Saccharomyces cerevisiae S288C: one gene and its partners. The main gene of each other region encodes a partner of the protein of the gene in region 4 in a complex. Each region holds a gene or a part of one and is shown on either strand. Other genes may lie near its edges.

What was found.
Region 1: MRPL3 (region 4) and MRPL28 share a complex: the UniProt entries of both Saccharomyces cerevisiae proteins name them as parts of the mitochondrial large ribosomal subunit.
Region 2: MRPL3 (region 4) and MRPL38 share a complex: the UniProt entries of both Saccharomyces cerevisiae proteins name them as parts of the mitochondrial large ribosomal subunit.
Region 3: MRPL3 (region 4) and MRPL15 share a complex: the UniProt entries of both Saccharomyces cerevisiae proteins name them as parts of the mitochondrial large ribosomal subunit.

What each region holds. Positions count from the first base shown.
Region 1 is NC_001136.10:1,382,817-1,387,871, reverse strand, and holds MRPL28 (mitochondrial 54S ribosomal protein mL40 MRPL28), read right to left. Parts: upstream 1,800-5,055; coding exon 1,356-1,799; downstream 1-1,355. Other genes in the region: STP1 (Stp1p), read right to left, coding at 1-1,056; CMI8 (Cmi8p), read left to right, coding at 2,106-2,348; MFA1 (mating pheromone a), read right to left, coding at 2,586-2,696; TFIIH/NER complex subunit TFB3, read right to left, coding at 3,096-4,061; palmitoyltransferase PFA5, read left to right, coding at 4,429-5,055. UniProt on the Saccharomyces cerevisiae protein: Component of the mitochondrial ribosome (mitoribosome), a dedicated translation machinery responsible for the synthesis of mitochondrial genome-encoded proteins, including at least some of the essential transmembrane subunits of the mitochondrial respiratory chain.
Region 2 is NC_001143.9:127,852-133,022, reverse strand, and holds MRPL38 (mitochondrial 54S ribosomal protein uL14m MRPL38), read right to left. Parts: upstream 2,390-5,171; coding exon 1,973-2,389; downstream 1-1,972. Other genes in the region: putative serine/threonine protein kinase KKQ8, read left to right, coding at 1-1,735; protein kinase NNK1, read right to left, coding at 2,762-5,171. UniProt on the Saccharomyces cerevisiae protein: Component of the mitochondrial ribosome (mitoribosome), a dedicated translation machinery responsible for the synthesis of mitochondrial genome-encoded proteins, including at least some of the essential transmembrane subunits of the mitochondrial respiratory chain.
Region 3 is NC_001144.5:755,992-761,478, reverse strand, and holds MRPL15 (mitochondrial 54S ribosomal protein mL57 MRPL15), read right to left. Parts: upstream 2,000-5,487; coding exon 1,238-1,999; downstream 1-1,237. Other genes in the region: SPH1 (Sph1p), read left to right, coding at 1-729; ATG39 (Atg39p), read left to right, coding at 2,646-3,842; Ras family guanine nucleotide exchange factor CDC25, read left to right, coding at 4,486-5,487. UniProt on the Saccharomyces cerevisiae protein: Component of the mitochondrial ribosome (mitoribosome), a dedicated translation machinery responsible for the synthesis of mitochondrial genome-encoded proteins, including at least some of the essential transmembrane subunits of the mitochondrial respiratory chain.
Region 4 is NC_001145.3:319,980-325,892, reverse strand, and holds MRPL3 (mitochondrial 54S ribosomal protein mL44 MRPL3), read right to left. Parts: upstream 4,019-5,913; coding exon 2,846-4,018; downstream 1-2,845. Other genes in the region: YMR027W (putative methyltransferase), read right to left, coding at 1-16; PEX12 (ubiquitin-protein ligase peroxin 12), read left to right, coding at 458-1,657; CSI1 (Csi1p), read right to left, coding at 1,706-2,593; MSS1 (Mss1p), read left to right, coding at 4,876-5,913. UniProt on the Saccharomyces cerevisiae protein: Component of the mitochondrial ribosome (mitoribosome), a dedicated translation machinery responsible for the synthesis of mitochondrial genome-encoded proteins, including at least some of the essential transmembrane subunits of the mitochondrial respiratory chain.

The DNA of each region.
Region 1 (5,055 bases), on a different chromosome or scaffold from region 4:
TCTCTTGGGTATGTCGACTTTAAAGTTTTCCGAGTTTAACATTAATTTGTTGTTTCCGTACTTGGATATAATATCATTGCCCGAACTGTTATTAGCCACTATGGTCATAGCCTCTACGGCATCCTTGTTGAAAAGTACTTTAGGTTCTACAACACTTTGCGAAGTGGATATGAATCTAGAATGACCATTAGATGTCTTGATCTTCCTTAATTTTCCAGATCTTTTTTCATTTTTCTTGGTATACCCCTGCGGTAAAGCTTTACAGTCCCCAGACTCAATGTGATTCTCAACGAAATTTTCAATGGTGGAAAAGTATTCACCACATTGAGCGCAATGGCCGGACGACTTGTTACGGTCTTGTGGTTTAACACCTTTGGGGTACAGCACGTGCCTTGCCTTCAAATGAGTTTTATAAGTATCGCGTCTGCTAAAACCACCCGAATTGTGGCATCTAAGATCAGGAGGAGTGGCACTGTTAAAAAATGGACAGTGATACGCCTTTTCGATGGCGTGCTTCTTAATATGTCTCGTTAGATATCCTCTAATCCTGAAAGTAGCGTCACAGTAGTGACAAATGAACTCCTCTTCGCCGTTGTTCAAGACCTTGGTGGAATGTTCTGGGGTGGAGCCTGATGGACTTAATGGAGAGCTTGTGACACCAGTAGACATTTTGATAGGGGCGCCTGTATCTTGTTCTGGCCTTGATCCGAGCAGTGACTTGGCATTTACTTCTGATTTGATACGATTCTCAGGAGATAGTGTGATCGATATTGGCGTGTTCAAATCGCTGACATCCATGGAGCAAGGGATCACAGAGCAGCCACCATTTAAAGAACGGTCTATATTATTTGATTCGGGAAACAAACTTGTGGTAGTCTTTTCTTCATCTGCTGCATCTTTGCCTTCCTCCTTTGTCGCATTTTCACAAGAATAATGATGACTTAGATCTGGCTTGGATATAATAACTCCGCTGACGAGCTCTCTGAAGAACGCGTATATCTTGCCTGGAATGGCCCTAATATGTTTCTGCGGAAACAGTAGCGTGGTAGAGGGCATTTTTGAACGAATGTGGTATAGCCGGTATAGTTTGCCTTTTCCTTTAGTCTGTAATGTAAATCTACTTTTAATCAATGAGTCCTTGCAGTTTATACAAGAGTCAGCTTGCTTTTTTTTTCGCTTGCAGGGATGGGAAAAAGCAGTAAAAAAAACGTCAATAGTGATACAGTTCATGTCATAATTACCACATGCCCTTTATATGTCTATGTACATATAATTATATAAGTCCATATATACGTGGCATTCTATTGATCATCAGTTATTTACAGCAGGAGACAGTCAAGCGTTCGCTCACGCTATCATTTTCGGAAGTTATAATGCCATAACGTATTTGGGGGGAAGTCAGTGGGCACCTTCATTTCCATCGGGAATCGCTTGCCCTTCTCGGAAGCATTGGCAGCCTCAAACAGACGAGGGCTGAGTTCTTGTAGAAGGTTCATAGATCTCTCAATGCTCTTATATTGTAATTCCAACTGTAAATTTCTGCGCTCCCGTTGTTGCTGCTGATAAATTGACCAACACTTCTCAATGGTCTGATGTTTAATCAGGTCTTCACGCGCCAGCTTCAGCAACTTGGGCTGCTTTCTGCTTGCAGACATCACACTCAACTGCGTGACGACCCTTTGTGCCAAAGGTGACAGTGAGCTCTTGCTCTTTGTTCTCTTATTTCTGATGAAGACCGTGGTCCCAGATACCTGTTCTAGAACGGCTCTGTGTGGTTTTTTGAATGTTTGTGCCAGCATGTGTTATCTTCGTTGTGTAGCGTAGGTCTTCGTCAGTTCAGTATCCTAATCTGCAAATATCTGGAGGTATATTAACTTATGCTTCCCTCCATACAGGCAGGCCCCAGTCTGCTTCATCTTGTTTCTCGCTGGGAACTTTTGTCGCCCCATACGATAGTCACTGTATACGTAATTCTCAGCCGTGCATATTTCACAATAAAGACAGTCTAAAGGGACAAAGGCAAAGCGTCAATGGACAGACGACAATTAACTGGATATTATTTTATGTGTTGAGTATTCAAAGCACATAAACAAAAACAGATTATGATGGATAGCGGAAAGAGTGATATAAATAAGCATGCATACAAGGAGACAGCGACCCCGCTGCCCGTAGATCCGCCCTCTTACGAAGAAACAATGAAGCAAGATAAGGAGGAGGTCGAAGCCGATGAAACGACATCTTCCGCACACAGAGACAGCTTTATGAGGCCTGTTTACACTCACCATCCGCATCCAAGATCCCACAAGGGATATCCGGGTGCGAAGACCCTTACATATACTTCACGGTAGGTGGTAAGCGGTATATGTACATATACATATATATATATATATATATATATATGAGCGTGTGCATGGATGTACAACGATAACAAAAGCAGGTACAGGGTATCAAAATATTTTATATAATATAGTTACTTAGGATATTTATTATTAGGTCTAAAAAGAAATATTACGAACAAACATGATATATTGGTGTAGCGGAAAAGGAAGATAAAGGAGGGAGAACAACGTTTTTGTACGCAGAAACTAAGCAATAACACATGCTGGGTCCCAGAAGACACCTTTGATAATATAGTTGTCCTTCTTTTCACTGCTGGTCTTTTCTTTTGGAGCGGCGGTAGCGGTAGATGGTTGCATTTCTATTCGATGGCTTTGTACTTATTTTGGTTTTATCCGAGAAACAGTTACAGATCCCTCTCATTAATTCATTTCTGGCGGTTTATATATGAAGACTCTATTTCATTTTTTTACTTGATTTTCAGCAACCACTGAATCTGTATCTTTATCTCTACCATTTTAGGTTTCTTAACTGTTTTTTCTGATTACTGGGTTTCATTTAACATGTAAATTTCCTTTTTGGGTAATTACACACTCGTTTGTAACAAGAACAAAGAATAAAGGTATGGGCCAACCGTAGCAGTAGGTGCCTTTTTTCTGAACACTGAAACAGATCGTGAATGCATGTATATGCGTACATAGAAAATAAAAAGTAGTTGATTACATAGCTTATGCCACGTTGCACACTATCCTGATGTTTTAAAGCTCCTCGGATATAACACATCCTAAGCCCATAAATGCCTCTGTCAACACCCTTTCGTACGCATAATTAGTGTTGAACCCAGACGCAATAAATTCTTTCCTGTGCTCAAGATCTTTGATGAATGGGTCATTGTATACTGAACCTTTCAACGTAAACCTTGGGTGTGCTTCTCTATCACCGTTAAACGGCGTGAACGGTACAGCATCTTTGAGTCTCGAATTCTGTACGTTCACATTTGAATTGAAATATGGATTGTTTTTCAGAACTCTATTTAGTTCTTCCAATTTCCTTCTAGCGGACGATTTTTTCAATTTAACCGTATTTTTAACGCCTTCGATTGTTTCATTGATATCCTGGGTGGTCGTACTCAACCGGTTGACGATTTCTTTCTTTGTCCACTCTTTGTTCATTCTTTCCTCCTCTTCGATTTGTCTTTCCAACAGTCGCTTCTTCAATTTCATCTCCTTTTCGAATTTTTGTCTCTGTTCGAAACTTTCTATCTCTGTTCTGCTTCTCTCCAAGTTATTCATAATCAGTTGCTTGTTTAATTCCTCGTAGGTGCGTAGTTTCTCCTCGGTCTTAGCCACATCGATCCCGTGATCTAGTTTGTATATAATGTCTTCCACCTCTTCCAAATATTTGTTATATTCCACAAGGTCACCATTGAAGTCATCGATAGTTTTGTTGAACACATTGAACACTCTCTTCCTGATGTCAACTTCTTTCTCAACTTCCACATCATCGAATATTTGGGTCTTGAACTTATTCTTTCTAAGAATCTTGTCACACCCTTTATATGGACACTGGGCAGGACCGAGACTAAATATTCGATCAACACACGACTCACAGATCCTGTGATAGCATTCAGGATTCACCAAAAATTTCACATCCGGAGAAAGGTATCGATCTGTCTTACAGATCGGACACATGTCCTTGTTTTCCTCATACTCATCCATAAGCATTTTTCTTTCACTTATATTTACTTGTGTGCGGGGGCCCACTAATGCTGCAAATCCTAAGAGGAAACAAACTCAAATTTTAACAAGCAGTTCAGTTTCTTAGCTGATGATGAGTGCTGTCTTGTGCGTCTGTTCTGTTGTATACTCTCTTTAGTATTAGTGCTTAAGAACAAATTTACGAGCGAACGGCCCGATTTGGACCATTTAGTCGATTTTTTTTTCCACTATTTACGTTTTAAATAATAGTAGCATAAACACAGCACTCAAACAAAACAACTAATTAGGCGTATATCTGCCCGTTGTAATATTTTCAGAACCTAGCTAAGGTCCTTTCATCGCGACACGGCAGAAATTAAACCGTTGTATATGAATGGCTCTATCATGGAATATTCGAATCAGGCGCAGGTCATGGTTTAGATTCATCTTACCGATTATCGTGCTCGGTTTACTGTGCTACGGTACGTGGGCTTACTGCCATAAACTATGTTACGAGCAAGTCGACAAACGACTTCGTCAGAAATCAGTTTCGGTTGGTCTTATTTGTGCGGTATGCTTCCTAGACGTAGTCGTGATTTTCATATGGCTTCAAATAGTTATCTTGGTCGGTCCAGGTACCCAACCGCACGTAGCACCTTTTTTGATCCTTCCTATAGCCTCTGAAGAGAAGACTAGCAACACTTCTCAAAACACTTCAGTGGAATACGATGCTGTGGTTCCGCCTAAGTGTTATCAGTCTGATCCTCACGGATACCCAATATGGTGCAGTGAATGTCAAAGTCTGAAAATGGAACGAACGCATCATTCTTCAGAACTAGGCCACTGCATTCCTCGCTTTGATCATTACTGCATGTGGATAGGGACTGTTATTGGTAGAGACAATTATAGACTCTTTGTGCAGTTTGCTGCTTATTTTTCAACACTTTTACTTATCATGTGGGTGTCTATTTGCGTTTACATAAGAATTATTACTCAACACAATCATAATTATAGCCCCAAT
Region 2 (5,171 bases), on a different chromosome or scaffold from region 4:
TTCGTCATGTGACAGTTCAAATGGAACGACAAGTTCATCAGACAGTCAATGGGCTATGGATTCTTTACTAGATGATTCAGACAATGACCTCACACCTTATCGTGGCTCGAACAAAGATATACTGAAAAGTAAAGACCGGGCGCCGTATAATTACATAGATGACTACAATAAGAAGGCTTTACGCAGAGCAACATCATATCCAAATCCTCTCCCCTCCAAGCAATTCTATAATGAAAGGTTATACACCAGGAGGTCACATCCAGATGAAGAAAGTTTGGAGAGCTTGCCTCGATTTGCAGGAGCAGATGTGCAATGTATAATTGAGCAAAATGGCTTCAAAGTTTACGAAGACGGAAGTCATGAACATAATATAAAGTTATCAGGGGTAATTGCGAAATTAGAGAAAGGTAACTCCTTACCGGCACATCGACAGGGATCATTATCTAGACCAAGATTAGGTATTACTCTTTCTGGTCTATTCAAACATCATAAAAATGAATGCGATATTGAAAACGCTTTATCTCTTCTGCCAAACGTAGAAAAATCTCAGACAAACCATGAGAAAAGAACCGGTCAAAGTCCTAACGATAGCAACCGCAGCTCGCCCACGCAAGGAAGGGAAGATTATCTAAAAATAGTGAATCCCGACGCATCATTGGGCAGTGATGAGTTGAAGTTGATTAATTCATTATCAAGCAGAATTCATAAAAGTTTACAAAATTATTTGCAAGAAAAAAATCTAAAACCGGCTGAGTGTATCGGCGAGCAAGCACCTACTTTTCAAGATAATTATGGCCATCCTGTTGGTCTCGTTGGCGCTGGAGCTTACGGTGAAGTTAAGCTGTGTGCCAGACTACGGAATGAAAAGGACTCCCCCCCATTTGAAACATATCATGATAGCAAATACATATACTATGCTGTGAAAGAATTGAAACCCAAACCAGACAGTGATTTAGAGAAGTTCTGTACAAAGATCACCTCTGAGTTTATTATTGGGCATTCCTTGAGCCACTACCACAAAAATGGTAAAAAACCAGCCCCCAATATTCTAAACGTATTTGATATTCTAGAAGACAGTTCTTCGTTTATTGAAGTAATGGAATTTTGCCCTGCTGGTGACCTTTATGGTATGCTGGTCGGTAAGTCGAAATTAAAGGGCCGATTACATCCGTTAGAAGCCGATTGTTTCATGAAGCAACTGCTTCATGGTGTTAAGTTCATGCATGATCATGGTATCGCTCATTGTGATTTAAAACCTGAAAATATTCTCTTTTATCCGCATGGTCTATTGAAAATATGTGACTTCGGTACAAGTTCTGTATTTCAAACCGCTTGGGAAAGGAGGGTTCATGCTCAAAAGGGTATAATTGGATCAGAGCCTTACGTAGCTCCAGAAGAGTTTGTTGATGGGGAGTATTACGATCCAAGACTGATTGACTGTTGGAGTTGTGGCGTTGTTTATATAACAATGATATTGGGGCATTATCTTTGGAAAGTAGCTTCGAGAGAAAAAGATATGTCTTATGATGAATTTTACAAGGAAATGCAGCGTAAAAACCAGTTTAGGGTATTCGAAGAATTAAAGCACGTAAACTCAGAGTTGGCCACAAATAGAAAAATCGCATTATATCGCATCTTTCAATGGGAACCAAGAAAAAGGATTTCTGTTGGCAAACTTTTAGATATGCAGTGGATGAAAAGTACGAATTGCTGCCTAATATATGATTCCACATAAATATCTTGTATACAATATTCACGGCATGCAATTATAGAATAAGACAAGAAAAAGAATACAACTCCAATGAGTAGAACGTCAGCAGCACGTTCATGCGTTTTCAAAGTTAAAGTCATACATTAAAATTTAAGCAATATATACAGGTGGTTAATTAAATAATGACGACAAAGCTCTTTTGCTGGTTTACAGTCCCTTGATTATAACGTTAATGAATGGAAAATGGGGGTACTTTTATTCTTATATGACCCTACTTGCCAAAGAGCATATCTTATTGTATCCCTTGTCTTTCAGTGTTCTATCTACACAACCATCATTAGCCATAATTCTTGTCCCCAGAGGTTCACCGGTATTTTTATTAATCAAAACGCAAGCAGTATCTCCGAATGCAACGGTGGAGCCATCCTTTCTGCACATGTTACGCTGTTTAGACCTTACGACAATTGCGTGACAAATATCACCTTTTTTGACACGGTTGGTGTTGGCTGTCCCCGTAATGTTTTGAGTCAAGGGCTTTGCTTTCTGTATAACACAGACTATTCTGTCTCCAACCATTGCAGGACTCTTGGGGGACCCTTTCCTTATTACTTTAATACATTCTGCTAATTGTGCACCTGAATTGTCGATTACCTTGATGACAGATTTTAGAAATATCATGTTGTGATGTTAGAAAATATGGCTTATCCAGATCTCAAAGGGTTGACGACACACCGTTCTACAAATCCGCTATGCCAATATCCACGCTTCACAATTTATCCGAACTCTTCTATAGGTCCCTTTTCTTCCATCCGTCATTTAGCAACATGATTTAAGGCTGTTCAAAAAAATATTCTGAGTTTTCGCACGTTGCACGAGTCGCAATGAATAGCGCCAAATAAGTGATAGAGGCATCAAATATGCGATAAAAATACTTATTTACATATTTCGTAATAGTAATTATGAAGTTCGTTATAATTTATAAAATGGGAGAAAAAAAAGTAAGCACAATGTATGTATTTTTTCAATGCAATCAATATCATTAATCATAAGTCATGAGCCATTATTATCGTGAATGGCCTCGCTTAGGTTCATTTCGTTTTGAAGGACTTCTTCAATCCTTTTCAATTTCCACCTCTTATCCAAGTCAATCGTCAAACATCCAATGACTGTGTCATACAAGCCTTGACCAATCGTTCCTTCATTTTTTTTCCTGTCAAATTTACAGACCTGAGCTAAAGAAAATCGGTCAAATTCGCCTACTTTAATCAGAGAGCGTAACCTAGGTTCGAACTCATGATTAAAGGGTAATTTTCCTACTAACATTGTATATAGCATTACTCCCAAGGCCCAAATATCGGATGCTGGTCCTAAAGGAGAAACAATACATGGAAAATCAGTCGATGAACCAGACGGTGAACTTGTAGTTACACCGGAATTCGTGACTGCGGACGCCTTTGTAGAGGATGATAGAGAAGATAAATTAGAGGAAGATGATGATGCTGCGCTAATTTCCGATTGAGAGGAGTCTGGTGAATCATAAATATGCATTTCAACTGATTTTGAACGTCTTGCATCTGAGTATCTTAGAAGTTCTGGCGAAGCGTAAGGCAGAGATCCGATATATTTAGAAGGTTCGGGTTCCAGGTTTGAAAAATCGGTTGTCTTGTGCCTCCCATGAAAGGGACTCCGATGCTGTGGTTGAGGTTGAGAGGCTGGCTTGTGAAATAGATTAGAAGAAGAAGAAGAGGATGGTTGATTGAGATGCTTTAATGAATGTGAACTGGAGCTAACCATTCCTTTTGGTGTAAACGGTTGATGCTTTCGATTTTCAAATTGGTATTTTAAGTTTTCACTAGCGTCAAAATCATTAGTTCGGTCGTCAGGTAAAAAATTGGTTGTGGGATACTTTATCAAATTAGTTTGTTCAATACTTTTTCTCTTTCTATGGCTGTTGCCACTACTCAAGTTTTCATCAAAAGTATCGTTACGATAAACATGCTTCTCATCGAAGTGGCAACTCATTCCAAAATCGCATAGGAAAACCTTCCAATCCGATTTTTTACCTTCTTTTTGTAACAGACAGTTTTCTAATTTGATGTCACCATGAACAATCGTTTTGGAATGCATGTACTTTAATGCAGATAATAGTTGTAAGCTTAAAAAAATGGTCAATCTGCATCTCTCTGCAAATGGTATCTTCGAACGTTTGAATTCGTCCCAAGATATTACCAAGTCGTATAAGGTACCATCGTTAATTCTTTCCGTTAAACAATACATTGCATAGTTGTCATCAAGCTTCCAATCTAAAAGGGGGAGTATTCTGTTATGCTTCAAAGTCCTCCATATGGCTACTTCTCTCAGCACATGTTTCTTGATATTTTGGTGTCCTTTGAACTTCACAATTTTTATCACTCTACCAACACCAGTTTCAATATCAAAGCATTCCCGTATGATCCCCCATGCGCCGAAACCTATGATTTTACCCAACCGATGACCTAGTATTTCCATACCCTTATCGTCTGGTCTCGCACTGCCACCTGCGCTTCCACTCAATGGGTTCGAATTCATTTTAGCTATTGACGTCATCGAAGGTGAAAAAGAACTTAAAAATTGGGATGCAATGGAACCGTGCCTAGATCTTTGAAGTGGACGCGTATTTACGTAGGTGTCATTGCTATTATTGGGCGTGTTCCTACTATTGATGTTATCATCATTAGCCGTGGCCTGCGAAACTGAAGCATTATTGGCAAACCCAGCGAGAGAAAAGTTACTTCTAGAAGATGTTAACATAAACTTCTTAACTAGGGACATCATGGCCTTGTAGTCATGAGATGGTGCATGCTCGATAATCACCTTTTTCCTTTGAGTATACGGCAAGTTCAAAAAATTTCTGGGAAGCTTCTGAATCAAATCCATCATATCGTTGGGGCTTATTTGTAGCTCTGATAAGGTCGATAATGTAGTAGTCGGAAGAAAATTTAGTGACGAAGCATTTGAATCGAACGACGCAGGAACTGCAGAACTTTGAGTTGGAAGTGAATACTTTAACTTCGCAAAAGAGAATTTATTATTCTGTGTTATGCTATTGTTGTTGCTACTAGTTGTATATGAGGATCTCCTTTCCGCTTCTAAGTTGGACAGGGGTGTAAATATTTGCTGGCTGTTTCTGGGCAGAGGGATGGGTTTGACCTTAGAATGCAAATTTCTTGATAAAATAGAATCTTCTGGACTTAACGAATCACTGTTCTCTTGCGAAAAACTATCTCTTCGAAGTTTGTTTTGAGTCAATATTGCATCCGGTGAGCTCCAAAGTTCGTAGTTTCCCTTTCCACTGTCTTTGATTTGTACCTGCGGAGTGGCACTGCTTCTGAACTCATACAAATCCTCGGTGGACTTTTGCCACTCATTCACTAGCTTTGTAAAGTCTAAATCTGGAACGTACTCCGCCCCTATAGTGTAT
Region 3 (5,487 bases), on a different chromosome or scaffold from region 4:
GAACTCAGTGATATCGAGGCAGGTATGAAACCGTTGAAGATTATTGAAAAAGTGAAAAATGAGAAAAACGGTAAGGATATATCATCTCTGGGTGATAGCGGTAGTACTGCTGTTAGTTTTCCATCCTCTGGTAAGCCCATTACAAAAAAATCGGACATGCCAGTGGTTGTAGCATCGCCATCAATTTCCATCATAGAAAAATCTGAATCTTCTATTCGAGAGAGTGGGAAGGTACGAAATAATACATCTGGAGAAACAAACTTAGCGTCTGTGTCGCCGTTAAAAAACACTAAGAATTCTTCAAGAATTACGAGTGAGCCATCTCCGCGAGAAGGTTTGCCTCTGAAAGTTGTCTCGAACTCGAGAAGTCCAAGTCCTCAAGGTAACACATTGCCGCTAATTGGTAAATTTCGGCAGGATTATCAGGCATCACCTCCGAAGAAAGTTATCACTAAACCAGTGGCAGAAACGGCGAAGCCGTATGCAAATATTCCGCCAGCTGCAGACGTACTTTACTCGCCAACCGTGACCAAAATGAGGAAATTCAGAGAGAAAGTGCAGAAATTTGCTCCCAACTCTGGTCTTGGATTAAGAATATCTACTTCAGAAGAAAACTTGAATAATTCTGATGTCAACTCAACCACGCACAACGCTAACATAAATAACCTCGTCGAATTTGTTGAGAGTAAATCAATGGTTGTTCTTCCTATGGCAGGCAGGGCATTTTGAATGATGTTCAAGCCTCTAAATCAAAATTGTTCAAGTCCGCAAGATCAGTTTCGAGATTATGTCAAAATTCCATCGAGATTATTCCTATTTTGGAATCGGTGATTGATATGACTACCAAAGCAATGGTCCAAAAAAGTTTTAAACTGGATTTAGGCGAGCACTGTAAAGAAATTATTGAAAGGCTCACAGATTGCTCGCAAAAGTTATCGGAATTGTGTACTTATGGATGCGATTCCACAAAGCTTGGGAAGAAACGATTCTATCAAAAATTAGCAGATATCCTGATGGAAGTAACCAAGCGCACCAGGGAATTGGTTGAATGTGTGAAGATGGCGAACAGGCAGACTCTTTCACAGGACCTCTCGTCATTTTTCAATTATAGATCTGTACAGTAAAGTCATATATATTCTTTAGTTATTATCTTATTTTATTTCGATCACTATTTACAGATAAATTTTTCTTTTATACATTTTTGGCCAGTGAACCATCAACTATATTTTTTGTATCTTCACAGAAATGCTTTATTTTCCTTGTCGGATATTTTTGCCTTTGCAGATGCTACATTTTCATTAGCAATGTTAACCAAGGAATGAAGATCTTCTTTATCCAGCAAACTTCCTTGGATAAATTTAGCTGCTTTTTCAGATCCATTCGTTGACAGAATTGCACCAATAAATGCGTTCAAGACACTAGCAAAAATCGTGGTTTCACCATTTATGTGGCCATCTTTTATTGGGTCTCTCATCTTCCAAAATATGAAAGGGTCTAGATTATGTAATTTAACGAATGTGCATGCTGTGTTTTTGGACGTTAATTCCTTAGCGAATTTTGTTCCCAGATTGCTGAACTGCAAAGAAAGTTGCCCGTTCTCGCAACTCTCGGCCGGCGAACCATTCTTTAACGAATGAATGCACGTCTGTAGTTTCAAAAACTGTGCTCCTAGCAGATTCAGTTTTTCGTTGTATGGCTTTGACCCGTGTGCGAACGACTTATGTGTTAAACACTGCAAAATCAGTTCGTTTGATAAATTTATTCCGTACTTGGGCAATTGTAGTATGGATCTAACTTTGTCTTGACACTCTTTTGCGTTAACTTCAGTAAAGAGTACCCCGCTAGGATTTCTCAAGTACGACTCTGGATCTCGTCTCAAACCATTAATTCTCGGACCCTTATGAAGGTATATGACTGTTCTAACGCTTTGTAAATTGCAGTTCAAAGCAGTAACGGGTCTCCGCAAGGAACGCGATATAAACATCATGCTATTTTCCATGTTTCCGAGCTTGTCTACTCTTTACTTTCCATCTACCGTTATAGTTTTATATCTCGCTCTTGTTCATACTATATGCAAGTTTTCCAACGCTTCCCATAGCATAAGCTTGGATAGCGAAACCTAAGTTGTTTTTTTTTTCAAAAACTCATCAATTAGGGCAAACTTGAATAGTCAGCTAGGTCATATATTTAAAATCAATTAGCCCTATGACTACATTAGGTTTATTGTTAGGTCTTTACGGCTGCATATTTGCTTTCGCCGTTCGGCGGGGTCCTGCGACGATTTCTGCGCGGTCTTGTATGGGTGGAGTTGACAGTTAACCCTCCGGACCCCCTACCCCGGTGTGCCCCCGGTCCATCTATCCATTTTGCGGTAACCCCTTTGCGCGACAGCTGCTTATCAAGGTACCTGGATCGAGCCATAAAAATTGATCTACACAGATGAGATGGGGCATTGGGATATATTATTAGTCGGAGTATCATTATAGTTATTCAGTTTTATGCAGGTTACTGGCCAAACGTTTTTCTTCATTTGGAATAATCGTTTAGGAGCTACTGTTCCGGTATAAAGTAACAAGCACAGTAGCAGAGTAATACGCAGTGACGATAATAGAGACTAGTAAAACAGTCGAGTTGTCGGACCTAAAATGTCAGAAGAAGACGATCATTGGAATTTAGTTAGATTACGTAGATTACGTAAAGGGAGAGAAGGGGAAGAACAGTCATCGAAGTCAGAAATATCTTTGGATAGTTTGCATGAAAGCTCCTTTGCAGGAGAGGACGACGAGGACTTCGATGCAGATGTCCTATCGAACACTAGCAGTGAAGAGTCTGCACAGATGAATCGTATTTACGATTTTAGAACATCTAATGAATTTAGTAATGCTGGAGTTAATATTGATCAAACTGGAGTTCCCACTATTTCAGAGTCATTTGATACTTTGTCCGGCTCAAATGTTGGCGGAACGGTATTGCCAAGTATGGAGGGGTCGAAACTGAAGGATAGTACGATAAGGAATTCTAGCACACTATCGGATCATATCATAGATAAAAGTGAGGGTAAATCTGCTAAATTGAAGATGTGGCATGTTATCATGCTATCTTCATTGCTTTCCATGACCTTTTCATACCTCGCCCTCGAATATTCCCTGACTGGTGATGTGTTGGCAGGTTTTAAATCACAACAGTCATTACGTAATAATGAAAGGAAGCTGTTGTACGGCAATATCGATTTTGTTGATAAAAAATCTTACGATTCATCAAGTGACTCTTTAAGTCAGTGGGCTCCTTCAGGAAAATACTACGTCGACTTCGACAATCATATTGCATACCCATTAAAGGATGATGACCTAATGGGCTGGAGACGATACAAAACAGACTTAGTTATTTTATGGTATACAACAAAAGCTCGAATGAAAGACGGTTGGCACAAGAGAATTAACAAAATAAACGGAGGAAGAATAAAGTTACACCTATTTCTCAAGAATTCTTTTAAATCCGCTCAAGAAAGTTTAAGGGTATTGCATAAAGAACAGAAACGCCGCTGGAAAAGGCTCTTTGTGCTACTTCATAATAAATACAGGCAATTTTCTCCACATATTAAAAGGTATTTCGATCATTCTTGCCAAAAAGCAAAACAATGTTGGTCGGGATCCAGATTGCAGTTGCGCAAGCTTCGTTTCAAGTCAATGAAACCATTCCGAGTTTTTCAGTTTAAGGTTCGCAAAGATACCAACTGGTTTGTAAAGCAGCTGAAACGGTTCGGATTGAAATTACAGCATTCGAGGATGTATAAAGCGATGTCAGAATGCAGGAAAAAAAATTATTTTAAGTGCAAACACTAGATCATCCAAAACCCAGCATGAAGAATGAAATTAACAAAAGAAAAAAAAAACGACTGCTTAGTAGGAGTGTCATATATCCCTCCTTTAAATTTTTTTACACTTACTTTCCTTTTTTTATTGAGAATAGAAAAGGTGCATCTCTCTCTCTCTCTCTCTCTATCTCTATCTCTAAGGTTTTATTACTTTCATAACGTATGCTATCCATCTCTTTTCCTTTTTTTTTGTTTTGTTATTCCCTTTTTTTACTCAGTTAGATTCATACTACTATATTTACATATTCTTCGAAGCTTTTATGAGTTAAATATTTTGTTGCTTTATGGGGCAGAAAATAGTCGACGTCAGTCACCTCCAGGTTATTATGTAATTCGCTAAAACGACTTTTAAACATCGCGGGAGACGGATCTTTGACAGAGACCTGGAGGAAAAAATAAAATAGAAAAATAAGCTCAAAAGTTACAGAGAAAACTGCATCACCAACACGGCGGAGACAGTTATAGTGACTTGATCACCGTGAAGCAATTCCTTTAGTTAGATAGACTGTTTCTTTTTCGGAAAGAAATTGAATAAAAAGAGCCACATTTTTCTTCGAATAAATACTAAAAAATAAAACGAAAAAGCAAGGTGGATATTGGATAGTTGTATCATGTCCGATACTAACACGTCTATTCCCAATACAAGTTCTGCAAGGGAGGCAGGCAATGCTTCACAAACTCCATCGATCAGCTCTTCATCTAACACTTCCACTACCACTAACACAGAATCATCCTCAGCTTCTCTTTCTTCTTCCCCCTCGACAAGTGAGTTGACCAGCATTCGTCCAATTGGAATAGTAGTCGCTGCTTATGACTTTAATTATCCCATTAAAAAAGACAGTTCTTCGCAACTTTTGTCTGTACAACAAGGGGAAACCATTTATATACTTAACAAAAACTCATCTGGGTGGTGGGATGGATTAGTTATTGACGACAGTAATGGGAAAGTTAACAGAGGCTGGTTTCCTCAAAACTTCGGTAGACCTTTAAGAGACAGTCATCTCAGAAAGCACAGTCATCCGATGAAAAAATATAGTTCCAGTAAGAGCTCAAGGCGCAGCAGCTTAAATAGCTTGGGCAATAGTGCATATTTACATGTGCCTAGAAATCCGAGCAAGAGCAGGAGGGGGAGTTCTACTTTATCAGCGTCTTTATCAAATGCCCACAATGCAGAAACAAGTTCCGGCCACAATAACACCGTATCGATGAATAATTCTCCCTTTTCAGCGCCAAACGATGCTTCCCACATAACCCCTCAATCTTCGAACTTTAATTCCAATGCTAGTCTATCCCAGGATATGACAAAGAGTGCAGATGGCTCATCTGAGATGAATACAAACGCAATTATGAATAACAATGAAACAAATTTACAAACTTCTGGTGAGAAAGCAGGTCCCCCACTAGTAGCAGAAGAAACAATTAAGATATTACCGTTGGAAGAGATAGAAATGATTATTAATGGTATACGTTCGAACATTGCTTCGACTTGGTCCCCCATACCACTGATAACGAAAACATCCGATTACAAGTTGGTATACTATAACAAAGACCTTGATATATACTGTTCAGAATTACCCTTGATTTCTAACTCAATTATGGAATCCGATGACATT
Region 4 (5,913 bases):
TTCCAGGGATAGTCATCTCTTGTTATGTACTACCCACTACCGTAATATCCTTTTTTTCCGTTTACACAAGGACCACAATGAACCACTAAATTTTAAAGAGTTCAAATGAAGTTTTATTCTTTTAATATGAAGGGAATAGTTGTATTTCTACTTCCGGGCAGTTATACTATCACGTTGCACCTGGGGCCTCTATGTCTGAGAGGTGTGTGGGTTATACTAAGAAATCATCGATGTGGACGATTACCGTCACTGGCAATGGTAACCTCCAATTCAGTCACTGGAGAAGAGAGGTACAATTTAGTGTGGAGTCATCCTTTCGTCTCATTCAGATGCTTAAGAGCAATGCTTACCGCAGAATCACATTAGGTAGAGAAACGGTTTTGCATGAAGGCTCCAGAAGAAGCAAGGGAATAAGCAGGGAAAATAAAGCAAAGGAAAGGAAGGTAGTCGTCAAGTGATGAGCTTTTATTCAAACCTACCGTCTGCAGGACAATCTAGTCGAGGGTCTTCAACAAGCGGTCGAAATGGGGTGGGATTAGAACCATTGTATCCGACTATCTTTGAGATAATGTCATCACAAGAAATCGATTCGTTACTGCCCGCATCCATCCGTTATCTACTGGCAAATCATTTAGTGGCGAACTTCCCTAACAGGTATACTTTGCGGCTGAACAAGTACTTTTTTGAGTGGTTTCAAGCGATAAAAGGGTTTGTTGAATGGTATCATCTAAAGACATACAATTCTACGTTTATTGATCGGTTTTATGGATTGCAACTATTTAGTTCGAGGGACAGAAATCTTGCCTTAACACAATGTTTAAATCCAAAGGGCCAGAGTGAATGGCCCCAAGGTTTGCAGCTGAATCAACAGCAAAAGAGTGTTATTTTTTTGGAAAAAATTATTCTCCCCTATATCACAGCGAAGTTGGATGAAATATTAGAGAAAATATCAATGAATAATATATTCAGCAGCGATGAAACTGAAAATAAATGGCCCAAGAGAGCGTTTCTAAGAATTTATCCATTTATTAAGAAATTATTAGCGTTATCCAATTTACTCGTTAAATTATTATTTTTAACTAAAAGAACAGGGTCGGTTTCCTTGTTGCAATACTTATTCAAGATAGAGTACACAACGGTAAGACCACTATCGTCAGAACTCTCTGGTCTCAAAGAGACGAAAGGGATGGATAATAGGCTAAGGAAAACAAATATATCGTCAATTTTCGCGCTAATGCAAGGACAATTATCGATTATACCCAGATTTTTAACATTTATGGGTTCGCAATTCTTCCCCACTTTTATATTTGTCCTAAGAGTGTACCAATGGTGGACCACACAAGACATGACTACTAAATTGCAGAAAAGGGTCAATGACTTGGATGAAGATATTCCAAGGCCGCCTTTCTCCTCACATAGTGACAAAACGGAAGATAAAGAGGGAGTTTCTGAGGCCTGTCCCGTTTGCGAAAAAACTGTACAAAACCCCTGTGTATTGGAAACAGGATACGTGGCATGCTACCCGTGTGCCATAAGCTATTTGGTTAATAATGAAGGCCATTGTCCCGTTACCAATAAAAAGCTGCTGGGTTGTACATACAACAAACACACGAATAAATGGGAAGTTGTGACAGGTATTAGGAAGCTACTAATCTGATGACGGAGGAAGTGAAGAAAATAATTCTGTGTAATATATATATTCTAGTTATTTTTTTAACATATTTGAAATTTCCCATTGTTTACACGAAATTTCTAATAATTTTATTTCATTAATTTTGTTATCCAGCAGGTAATTCATGTCACTTGTTCCACCTCTTTGCAGTTGTGTTACAAGCATTGATATTTTTCGAAGTATTACATCTTGCGTGGAAGAGAAAGGCTTGTCAGTGGCATCATAATTTTTCAAGAATATTATCATTCGATTAATCTTCTCGAGTAATTTTCTTATGGTATTATTATTATATTTTTGAATATTGATTTCTTTATCCTTCATGTCAATTAATTGAAACTCATCAAAACCTGGGTCTACGGTATTATTAGGTGTGGGAATTTGGTATCTGTCATTTACATCCTTAATTTGCACTTTATCTTGTAGAAAATCAAGGATAATTTCCGCGCCTATCTGTACACTATTTTCAATTTTATAACCCTTTAAACTATTGACAGCTTCTTGGAAGGAGGTATGTTGGCGAAACACGTTATATTTTATCAGATATTTCAATGCCAAGGCGGTCAATTGGGTGAGCACTTTCTCCGTCACTTTATTAGTGATATTTTCGTCCTCTTCTAACTGACATAAATCAAGAATACCCAGTATACAAATGTCCTTTTGAGTCACTTTTGTTAGGTTAATTCTCCTTTCTAGGCGTTCTTGATTTATTTTATCATTTTCCTGCATCGGGATTCGTATAACTTTTTCAATATACCATTGAGACTCTGCTTCATTACCATTTATTGGGATGTAAATTTCATCATCTTGATCCAATTTGCAACCTATCAATAAAAACCAAGAGTGGTCTATCGAGTCAAACGATGACTCGTGCAGGAAGTTAATTTCTGATATAGCTAGAGAACTGAATTTTAGGAGGTCCATTTACCCTATATTACTTTGCTTTGTGTTATTATCCCCTCACAAATGTGCGTTCTCTTTAAATATAGCAAGTCTTTTTTTTTTTTGTCTGTTTCCTGGTAAGATATAGTAGTAAACAAGGAACATGCTTCTGTTCACTTTTATATATTTTAGTACACATAAAGTAAACGCATATCGTACCAACGTGTATATATATATGTACAAGAATGTATTCTGGTTAAGGAGTTCTCTATCTACAAAATGGCAAACACAGAACTAAACAACAACAGTGCCAGGATCAATAACTGGTTCCTGTTGAGCAAGAGGCTCGTAGCAATACCATTTCATCAAAGCATCAGTAGCGGCTCTTGCTTTTGCCTCCTTTAATGAGGAACCATAACCTTCACCTAATGTCTCTTCGCCTGAAAATACATGCACAATAAAGACAGGTGATTTCGATAGTCTACCAGACTCAGCGACCAGTTTCGATACAGGTTTCTCCAGCCCCTCTCTACGACATAGCATAGCCAATTCTCTTGTAGGTTGTTCAAACTGGAACATTTTCGTGATATCCAATTTCCTGCTCATTATATGATCATCAATAAATCTGTAAACAGCTTGAGAATCTTTTTGCTCCGTTACTGCCCAGATGGCAGCTATTATACTCCTCACGCTCATTGCAAGAGCGCTTGTTTCTGAAAAGTTCTTTCCGGTGATTAGCTCAATACCGTCCTTAGAGTTCAATGAATTATTAAAGAATTTGAGTCTTCCCAAAGTGAATTCGAATGGTTCCATTTTCAAATAGCGTGATAAAACAGACGTAGTTTCTACTTCAATACCCCAGTATTTAGCAATGTGCGCCAGTACCGCCTCTGATATATATGCGTTAACCGCAGCATTCAAAACCACAGTGGGTAGTCTCGGATATTTCTGTATAATGGATTTTGTAACGTGGTAAGAGAGCAAGTTCTTTCCCATGATGTTTAAACCGTGGTTGTCCAAGTATTTATTAGTAGGTACAGTATTAACGAAAGCTGCACCTTTTGTAGGATTATTTATCTTGTCGGGTAGTTTTGCAGAGGGACACGTTAAGCATCTGGAAAGTGTTGAATAGGTCAACTCATTAGGTAATTGTAATCTCTTATGAAGCGTTCTTAACGAAGGTGACTTAGAGGCCACTGATTCAGGTATTTCATTTACAGTGCTCTTCAAACCCTGGTAGTATTCCTTATATTTAGCAAGTTCAGATTCGGGTAGGAAGCGCTTTTCTTGTTGTGTTAATGTTGAAAGGTGTAGGTATCGTTTTGAAGTAAATCTCGAGGATTGCTGCAGAAAGCATGTGCTAGACAAATGCTGTGAGAAAGGTCTTATGGTTCGGCTCCAATGCCACGTACTGTTTGGAAAAGGTTTCATACCTGCTGCTATTGCTCTTTTCAAAACTATGCCCATTCTGTATATATAACTACAGCTTTCTTTTCACCAATTCTTTTCAGATTATTTTAGTATTGCTCTTTTTCAGAGGCGGGAAACTTCACTCTTTACCCGGCTGCATATTGTAAGGACCTTTTCTATAATCACGCATTAAAGCGACTGTAATTTATATCTAATAGGATAATAATTTGCCATTAATTATTCATCTTGTTGCGTCTACAATCATTCTATTCCGTATTCTTTATGTCAAGGCATAAGAGACCTTGGTGTTTACTTTTCATCTTTCCGTAACGTTTTCTATAAACAGTAAAATTGATGAATCTTTGGAACTCCACCTTTCTTAAAGGTAATAATATGCCATCCATATCGGAACGAATGGGGATTAATAATAAATGAGTTGCTATAGTAGCAATCTAAGTGCTGACATCGTATACGTCTGAATGTGAATGTGCCGATTCCAGAAAAAAATATTCTACTTGCAGTTCAGAAAGTACTGAGGCGGCGTTAAAGATCTATTAGATTGATAATCTTCTGATAGTTGTATATATATATATATATATATATGAGTAACACGGGTTGCCACATGTCTTCAAATTGGTTTCATTAATAAAAGTTTAAAAATGTATCCTACATTTATGTTTTCTATACTTCTTCAAAGTCTTCAATACAAATCGGGCGTGTGGCGTAGTCGGTAGCGCGCTCCCTTAGCATGGGAGAGGTCTCCGGTTCGATTCCGGACTCGTCCATTTTTTATTTTTTTGGCTAACTAACCCATATATAACGTCTTTTACGAGGTTACATGAAGATACAGCAATATTCCATACGACTGCTATCTACTTAGAGAATGTTATATATGGTTAATAAGTATTCTATTTATGAATAGTGCATCTTTCTTACAATCACGGCTTATTTCGAGATCCTTTCTCGTAAGAAGGTCGTTAAAGAGGTACTCCGGACTTGCAAAGCCTTATACCTTCCAGCAACCAACCATATATGCATTATCTACACCAGCAAATCAAACCTCTGCGATAGCAATCATAAGAATATCTGGTACCCATGCTAAGTACATTTACAATCGACTAGTTGATTCAAGTACAGTTCCGCCGATCAGGAAGGCTATTTTGAGGAACATTTATTCGCCGTCCTCTTGTAGTGTGAAACCTCATGATCAAAAGGAAAGTAAAATATTATTAGACACATCGTTGTTGCTATATTTCCAAGCTCCTTATTCATTTACTGGTGAGGATGTGTTAGAGCTGCACGTTCACGGCGGGAAAGCCGTAGTTAATAGTATACTGAAAGCTATCGGCTCGTTACACGATAGAAGCAGTGGTAAAGATATAAGATTTGCCTTGCCTGGCGACTTCTCCAGGAGGGCGTTTCAAAATGGAAAGTTTGACCTTACCCAACTTGAAGGTATCAAAGATCTTATTGATTCGGAAACAGAATCTCAAAGGAGATCTGCCTTGTCAAGTTTCAATGGGGATAACAAAATCCTATTTGAGAACTGGAGGGAAACCATTATCGAGAATATGGCACAGTTGACTGCTATAATAGATTTTGCCGACGATAATAGCCAAGAAATTCAGAATACGGATGAGATTTTCCATAATGTAGAAAAGAACATCATATGTCTGCGAGACCAAATCGTTACTTTCATGCAAAAAGTCGAAAAGTCTACCATACTGCAAAATGGAATAAAGCTGGTATTACTTGGTGCTCCCAATGTCGGTAAGTCATCATTAGTTAACAGCTTGACTAACGATGATATATCAATTGTCAGTGATATACCTGGCACTACTAGGGATTCTATTGATGCAATGATAAACGTGAATGGCTATAAGGTTATTATCTGTGATACGGCAGGTATAAGAGAAAAGAGTTCTGACAAGATAGAAATGCTGGGTATAGAT